2 linked regions of the Schizosaccharomyces pombe genome follow. The main gene of each other region encodes a partner of the protein of the gene in region 2 in a complex. Each region holds a gene or a part of one and is shown on either strand. Other genes may lie near its edges. The genes, in order: atg14 and atg38.

What was found.
Region 1: atg38 (region 2) and atg14 share a complex: the UniProt entries of both Schizosaccharomyces pombe proteins name them as parts of the autophagy-specific vps34 PI3-kinase complex.

Annotation. Positions count from the first base shown.
Region 1 is NC_003424.3:2,100,652-2,104,927, reverse strand, and holds atg14 (protein Atg14), read right to left. Parts: upstream 2,600-4,276; 5' UTR 2,147-2,599; coding exon 974-2,146; 3' UTR 825-973; downstream 1-824. Other genes in the region: F-actin-capping protein beta subunit acp2, read left to right, coding at 1-278, 328-731; protein Fft3, read left to right, coding at 3,879-4,276. UniProt on the Schizosaccharomyces pombe protein: Functions as a part of the autophagy-specific VPS34 PI3-kinase complex I that plays a role in autophagosome assembly. This complex is essential to recruit the atg8-phosphatidylinositol conjugate and the atg12-atg5 conjugate to the pre-autophagosomal structure.
Region 2 is NC_003423.3:207,487-211,724, reverse strand, and holds atg38 (protein Atg38), read right to left. Parts: upstream 1,967-4,238; 5' UTR 1,924-1,966; coding exon 1,900-1,923; exon of another isoform or gene 1,804-1,899; coding exon 553-1,803; downstream 1-552. Other genes in the region: protein mug168, read right to left, coding at 1-214; alpha,alpha-trehalase Ntp1, read right to left, coding at 2,440-4,238. UniProt on the Schizosaccharomyces pombe protein: Functions as a part of the autophagy-specific VPS34 PI3-kinase complex I that plays a role in autophagosome assembly. This complex is essential to recruit the atg8-phosphatidylinositol conjugate and the atg12-atg5 conjugate to the pre-autophagosomal structure.

The sequences.
Region 1 (4,276 bases), on a different chromosome or scaffold from region 2:
TCAGCCTCTAAAAGTAAATACTTGTTCTGAGTCAGGTAATCAATATTTGTTATGTGACTTTAACAGGGATGGAGATTCGTACCGCTCACCATGGAGCAATAAATATGATCCTCCTTTGGAGGATGGTTTAGTTTCTACTGATCGAGTTCGTAAATTAGAAGTTTCTTTGAATGAAGCAATCCGTGTCTATCTTGATCTTTATTACGAGGGCGGTGTTAGTAGCGTTTATCTTTGGGACCAAGACGATAGTTACGCAGGCGCCGTTCTCATAAAAAAGGGTATTTTTATTTTCTGTCAATTTCATTATATAATTCTAACTTCATTTAGCTTCTACTTCTAACTCAAGCGGATGGGATTCTATTCACGTGTTTGAATGTCTGCCTACCACGGAAACCAACGTTTATGATTACCGACTTACAAGTACTATTATCCTTTTCCTTTCATCTGGCTCGGAGGAACAGTCTGCCTTGCCTTCCAAAGCTCTTAACCTTTCAGGTCATTTGACTCGCCAAACTTCTCAACGATTACCAGCGGCAGATGATGACACTGAGATCGCTAATGTTGGCAAATTGGTTGAGGAAATGGAAACTCGGATGCGCAACTTCCTCCAGGATGTCTACTTTGGAAAAACTAAAGATATCATCAACCAGACTCGTTCCATTCAACCCGTTTCCGATGCCCAACCAAATGATTCGGCTTTGCGTTCAGTTTTAAACGATCTTTCCATTTAGGATTGCTTTTTGTTTTCTTTCCGTGATCTTCTCATAGTATTCGTTCCATCTTCAACGAAAATAGTCATAGAAAGATTGACTAATATAAATAAATACACCGATAATCTAATTTTTTTACAACAGTTTTAAAAGAAATTATTGAATTTAATTGTTCAGTAAAAAAGTTTATATAAATAGCATTAAAAAATATACGTTAAGAGACTTTATAAGAAAGCTGTTAATCGAAGATCATGTAAAAAAGGTCATGAAATAAGCTGATATGGTTTAGACGAGGAACGTGATCGAAGAGAGGAGTAATTTATTGGAATTGGAAGACGCGCCAGGTATAATCGGTGAAAAAGGTCAAAATCCATACCCATCTTGTAATGCCAATCTGGCTTTTGAGAAGTTAGCGGCTTGGTACGTAGCTGAACTAACCAGAAACCAGTATACTGCATTAACTCAAAAAGCTGGGATTGGGTAATTCCACGGGGAAACGAAAAAATGCCACAGTTCCATGAAATCCAAACTATGTTATACATTATATACAACATTTGTTCCGATGAAAATGAAGTCATGGGTTTTTGATCAGGCGAAGGGAGTTGAAGCGGGCATGGTAAGGGAATACTGGTATACTGAGCTAAAAATATACAAATAAAGGATAAAGTTAAAGCACAATCAGGATTTAAAAACATTTTCTCTTTACTTCTGATACATACAGGAATGCCAGAAATAGTCACAGAGGCATTTAACTCCATCACCTGAGAAAAAAAGTTGCTATAAAAATGTCCTGTTTCATTGTCACTATGAGATAAGTCGGATTTCGAATTGCCCATTGATAATTTTGAAAGTCTATACGCAAGAGATGAATCTATGGAGTCAGGGTTAAACTCTGATCCCATTTGAGCAGATTTTTGAGTGCAACCCTGAGTGTTAAGCACTAAATCCCTTTGCCAGTGAAGTTGATACATATCCAAAACCCTTGTTATCAGCTTCTTTTGATACTCATGCAATTTATTTTGAAGTAGCTCAGAACGGCGATAAGCTGTAAGGTATTCCTTAGAGAAATAGTCACTCGTTGAATGTGATAAGCCAGCTAACTTTTGACTCGCGATATTAATTGATTTTTTGCGATTAGACAAGTCATCTTCTATAAGCTGTTTGCGGGAATGCAAGTCACACGATAACGATTTCTTTTCGTTTAGAGAGGCAGCAAGGTTCTGTAGTCGATAAGTTAATTCCTCTTTTTGGGTAATCTTTCCTTTTAGAGAGAAACTTTCTGATTTCAATTTAGCAACCTTTTCAAGCTCTGACTCAATATCTCGAGAGAATTCATCACGTTTATGATAAAAATCATAAAGCTGCTTTTTTAAACAGCTTTCGCAAATAGAAGGACGTCTTGTTTCGCATAATTGGCATTTATTGACATGCAGCATACAAACACACCTTCAGTTTAGATCCAACAATGCCTTCAAGTGGTACGCAAATTTCAATTATAGCACAGCAATAAGAAAACTTAAAAACCCAGCAGGATATTAATTTCCTACTACGTTAACTGTCAACTTGTATACAATATAGGTGTTGTTAAAATAATGAAGCAAAAACAAAGAAGAAAAAGGGAAAAAAAATAAACAGCGCAGGTTTTTAAACAATTATTCTTAGAAACGAAGGGCCTCCTAACGGACAAATTCAAAAATATTAATTTAAAAGTGAAACTGCATTCCTGGCTGTTCTTGCAGAATTGAACAACCAATGCGATATTTTTGACAGAAAAAACGACAAATATTAAGAAAAAATTATATTATACGAATTCAATGCAATGAGTAGATGGACTTCTATTTCTTCAAATCCCCGAAGTAGCTACTTAGCAGTTGATGTTCGTATTGATTACTACAATCGTATGCAAATAGTTACTTTATAAAGCGTTTAAAAATATTTCCTTAAAGTAGCCTGTTACTCGACACTCAAATTTTTGCTAAATAACTTTGAGTGATGAGCAAGGTGTTTTACAAAACTATTTTATCTAAATAAATAGGTTAATAAAATATTAACTAAATAATATAATCCTAGAACCCAAACCATCCTCTTTTAACATTAGCTTTTGCAGTATCACCTAGAAAACATAACGTGGTACGCTGCCATAATATAACGAAACACTATTTGTTGTCATATTTCTTAAGGTTCAGTGACAAAAGATCTCTAGTATCTGCAGTTATGTTTAATGATTTTATTAAAACTATAAAAGAATAAAGACAATTTCGCCACGGTATCTTTTGCTAAATGTTTAGTAATATAAAGAGCAAGTTGCCATCATGATATAGCTTTACCATAAACTACGTTACAACGTTTAAGGCATTATTTAGCATCAGTATTTGGGACCACTACCACCATATCACGCCCCCGTGCCACATCAAGAACAAACTACCAGCATAGTGTGCTCTTGAATTATACCGAATAATTCCATAATACAAAAGAAGGTATTGGGTGACTGGAGTCTTTTTCTTTAACAATCCGATTCATTGAGTGTTATTATTTTAATTTTGGTAATTTTCTTTTTCTTTTTTTAAACAAAGATTGTTTTTGGATAGCCAAAGTATAAGTCGTTTTTGGTGATCTTTAATTGCGAGTATTTGTTTATTGCTAGAGCTTACCAAGTTTGCTTCATCTTAAACATCAGGAAAATTTTAAATTTATATTTTAAAATTTTTTTGTCTACTTTTCATTTACATTTTATTTTTCTTCATTAAATTCTGCATATCATCTCGAAACAACGCTTATGTATTAGAAGAAGGTGGTCTATCCTAATTAACTCATACACATCTCGTAACTAAAGGAATTGTTTCTTGTTTTAGAAATTGCAATAAGTTTTGGCCCTCAAAATTTTTTGTAATCTGCTGTTCCCATATTAAGTTTTCAACTATTTGAGTTACCAAGAAACGCGTGAAACAAGAAATCTGTATTGTTTTGTCGTTATTTCTTCCATTTTAATTAATCTTAGGAGAATTTAAAAAGTTTCAATCTTTTTGCATCTATTCTCGGCGCTCTTAATTCGTGTGATAAAATTATTCATAATATACACGTGACCTTACATATTTTTTCTCCAAATCCTATATTTTAGATTCAATTTTCTTTTGCCATTTGCTTGGATACATTGATTGTTACTTAATTATGGATGGAAAAAGAAAAATAGAGCATACCGCTGATGGCACGCATTACGACGCGACTTCCAACGTGAAGCGCAAGCCAATTTTCCCCCCTTTCATTGCTGATTCGCTTTCAGAAGCTACCGAAAAAGCTAATGTTATGGGGGGTGGTATGAATTCGCGACTTCAGATTCTTTCAGAGATGTCTAAACGAGTTCAGGCTACTGCACCCATTTCAAGTTTAGAACATTTCAAGCAGTTGAGTGATATTTCTCCCTCATTTACTTCCTCTGCTAACTCCATAAATCAACCATATAATTATTCCGGTTCGTTAGAAAATCTTGTTCCTACACCTTCTGCTGGCACTCCTTCGCAATTTATGGATGCCCAAAATCCATACGGCGCTGTTTACAATGCTTTATC
Region 2 (4,238 bases):
TAAATCTTGAATATGGCGTAACTGTTTCATACTCATAAACAGAATTTTTTGTTGATCTGCCAAATGGCGTTGGATTTTTGGAATCGAAATGCGAAATACCCAACGGTGAGTGTACCCCTTGACTCAAATCACCAATGTTGCTAACATCAAAAGGTAATACCGGGCTCGGTTTACTAACTTTTCGATCTTCAAAATCAGAGCCATCCATCCTCATCCTAGTTTTCGTAGTCGAATTCAGTTATAGAAGCACGTAAAAATTTATTTCAGAACTTCAGGTGGTAAAAAGAGAAAGTAAAATCCCAAATATAATGGTATGCGCAGAGAACATATCTAAGCCAAAATAAGTATTGATTCCATTAAGGATGGCTCGCCACAGACCATGTCATCGTAATTTTGCCTCCCCATGCATTTCTCTTCAAAAGGAAAACTAAGGCACAATTTAACGAAACATACAGAATTTTGCAGAGACAACATAATGTATTGCTTTGAAAACTGATTTTCGATCAGTTGCCGTTTCTTTAAAGAATTAATAAGTAAATCGAGTAATGACATTTAGTGAAGATCTTGATCGAGAGTACTGGTTTGAAATTGCTCCAGTTGCTTTTGTAAAGTTGCGATTTGTGTTTCAAGCTGTTTGATTTTCAATTGAGAATCGACCGTAATCTGTGCCGTAGATGATTCAAGTGAATCAGTTCCGGACTCCATAGGCTCCTCTTTTTTCTTTCCAGATATTGAACGAAAAAATGGAAACCGAAACAGACTTTTGCGTCTGGTATATTTCATGAGTTTGGTCGGAGCTTCAATTGTTTGGAGCGTTGGCGTTTCAGATCTATCAGGGAAGTTATTGTTTATTTCCTTAGTAAAATCATTATTTTCCCAAGAGCCGTTAACAAGACGGTTTGACTGAATATCCTCCCTAGAATCCGTAATCTCTCCAATACTACTTTCGCTACTTGATGCGTGACCAAATGCTCTTTTAAATGATTCTTCCCTTTTATGACTTCTTCCCATCTCCTCTTCAGATAATTCCTTAGCATCATTGTATGAAGGAATAAGAAACTTGGATACATTGTTATCATCTGTAGTTCCTTGAGTAATGTGTTGTAAATGTAAATCCTCGTTTTCATATGGAATCCTTGTATTATTTAAATATTCTTGTTGACTTATATCGAAATTCGATAGCGGTTGAATCTGCTCGTTCGTATTCTGATAGGCAGGATCTTCTTTGCTTGTTGCATTGGCATCTTCTTCAACGCTGTTACCAAGAGAAAAATCATCACCTTCTACGATCAAAAAACTCTCATCGGAGCTAAATATGCTTGGTGATGGCTGATCATCATCCATGGGAACGATGGAAAAAGCAACTGCAAGTCCATAGTTGGTTGACAGCTTTTTAACCTGCATTTCGAATTTAGAATACATTTGATATAAATCGTCCTCAGAATCTTCCATTAAAGCTTCACGAAAGCTTGGTTTTAGTCGAACAGTAGTATTATGATCACCTGGTAAAACCATTGAATTGGACGTAAATCGTGGAGTTAATGAAGAAGTATACATAGGTGATAATCTCGTAGACATTGACATTGATATTGGTGTTTGTTTGTTTGGCAATGATTCTCGTAACTCGCGTATACGAACCATCAACTCTTCGATTTGGTTATTTGCGCATCTTTTAATAAGAGGCTGAGCTGTGTTCTGACATATCTTTTCAAACTGACTTTTTGCTAATCCATAATACATAATTGCTTGTGAAATTTCTCCCAAAACTTCCTGATTTTCCCCATCTCGGGCGTATTCATGCGCCTAATTTTGTTAACATTCACATTCAAAAGCGAACGATAATTACGAACTTCAAACACTAAATTTACTCATATCCTTATCTCTTTAAGCATCTCTTACCTTTCTTAATGAATATCGAACCATAACACATTTTAATAATATACTGTTGTTGTGTAAGGAAGTGGCCAACTTATGTTGTCTACAAATGTGAACGACATAATACGGTACATTAACTCAAAATAAGTTTCTAGAAGACAATTCCTTCAAAAAAAAAACTAATAAAGTGATAGACACCAAATTAAACATTAGAGTTATATTCGGACTAAAACTGCAACAACAGTACTATCATGGAAATTATAAATTAGAATTGAATCGTAAGGTAAAAAATTCATTTACTACTTCTTTCTTTTAAGTAAAAAAGTAATAATATCGCTGGTGATAAGCTTTACTCATAAATTTAAATAGAATTAACTATTGTTTCGTAAGGGAATATTCGCCAAATAGAACCTTCATAGTAGAAGGATTTAATGGAAGGTATAACATGTAACATAACAATGGGTTTTAACCGGTCGATAACCAAAATAACATAATAAGAGAATAAAGCTAAAGGCAACTAAAAAAGTAGACAAAGTCGATTATTTTTTTCAAGCAAACGATAACTTAATTTTTATGAATGGAAAGGTTTTCGAAAGCAGGAAGAGATTCTTCCTTGATGCCGGCAAAGAAAACATCAGGAGTCGTACAAGCACCAAGAGCCCGACGCATATGCGAATTACAGAATGTAAGGCCGACTTCGTAACTGGCATTAACCCATCCAAAACCTTCGCGAGCAACGCCTTTGATATTGACACCCTGATTACCATACTCAGCTTCAACACGATGTGGATCAACTGGTCTGGTCAAATCATATTTTTCAACAACAATACCATTAAAATCAACAAACGATTTAGTAATAGTATATAGCCAACGATATACAAGTCTACGAGTCTCCTCTTCATATCCGTATCGAATCAATCCATACCAAGCTAAAATCTGCTGAGGGCTCCAGCCATTAGGATAATCCCATTGACGGCTGGGATTATCAAGACCCACTTTACCCAAGCTTCTCTTTGTACCAGCAACTATACCTCCAGCAACTTCAAACTTGGGAAGACTAACATCAACAAATTTTGCGGCTTGACGGGGAGTTGCCACACCGGCCCACAAGGCCCAGAAAGCAGTAGCACTTTCATAAGTACTCTTCGTTTCTAACTTCGTGTTGTAATCATACCACATCGAATCAGCTTCTGACCAAAGATACTTTTCCATTGCAGCACGACGAGCACGAGCACGACGATCCCAAATGGCAGAAGTTTCTATAGTTCCGTTTGGAAGTACAAACTTGTCATCGAAATATTCTAAAATCACATGTGAGATGTCGGTTTCATATTTGTATAGCAACGAGTTCAGATCCACGGTGGCCAAGTCAGCACAAACTTTTTCCAACCGATAAGTAGTATCATGCCCGCTTTCGCGAACTGCGCGGTCGTGCACGAAATACTCATCCAACGCGGGTTCATGAATTTGTTGGTAATTGTATGCATGAGTAAACTCCTCAAGAGTCATATGATACTTCTCCATGTAAGGACGAAGCAAATGCTCAAAATGAGAAGCTTCAGTTTCCGGAGGAATACCGAGTCCTCCAGGGCGATAGCGGGAAAGACCAGTTTTGGGATCCAGTCGTGGAGTGGCAGTCCAAACAGTGTGATATTCTTTTATAGTCGCAGAAAAGGCCCGATGCAAAAAGTCTAAAGATCCTTCTTCGTTTTTTATACGTTCATAAACTCGAAGGGCCATATCGGTCAAAAATGGAGGCTGGGAGCGAAGAAGATAATAAGTGCGGTTGGCATTCAAGATCTTACCGTAATAGGTAATTTCAAAAATAAAATTCTCCACCATACCTTTCGCCAAGTCAACCCGATCGTCAACAAGCAAACCCAGTGATTCAAAGTAAGAGTCCCAGCCGTACAGTTCATTAAACCGGCCACCAGGAACGACAAATGGCACACCTCGAAGATGTGTATTGCCTTCATCATCTTGGTATTTTTCCATTGCAAGTGCAAGTAACCCTGGCTTATCATTTACATCTCTCACCCATTCTGGAGTAATCTCTTCCGGCAGATATTCGACCTGTAAATTCAAGTAAGGCCTTTCCTTAGCAGCGCGAACATAGTATTCATACATCTCTTGTTCGGCTTTAGGAACATAAATTCGATTCACGTGTGATCCTGATCGGTCTTTGGTATCACGGCAAATAACATCCAAAACACTGGCATCGATTCTTCGAGTAAGGGCATCCCAAAAGGTACCTTTGATGAGTCTAGAAAGTCGGTTCACAGGGTTTTCATTAAGTCTTCGCTCATCAAGTAAAATATATCGACGTCCATAATCCTTTGCCAAGGTCAATTCCTGAAGTAAAT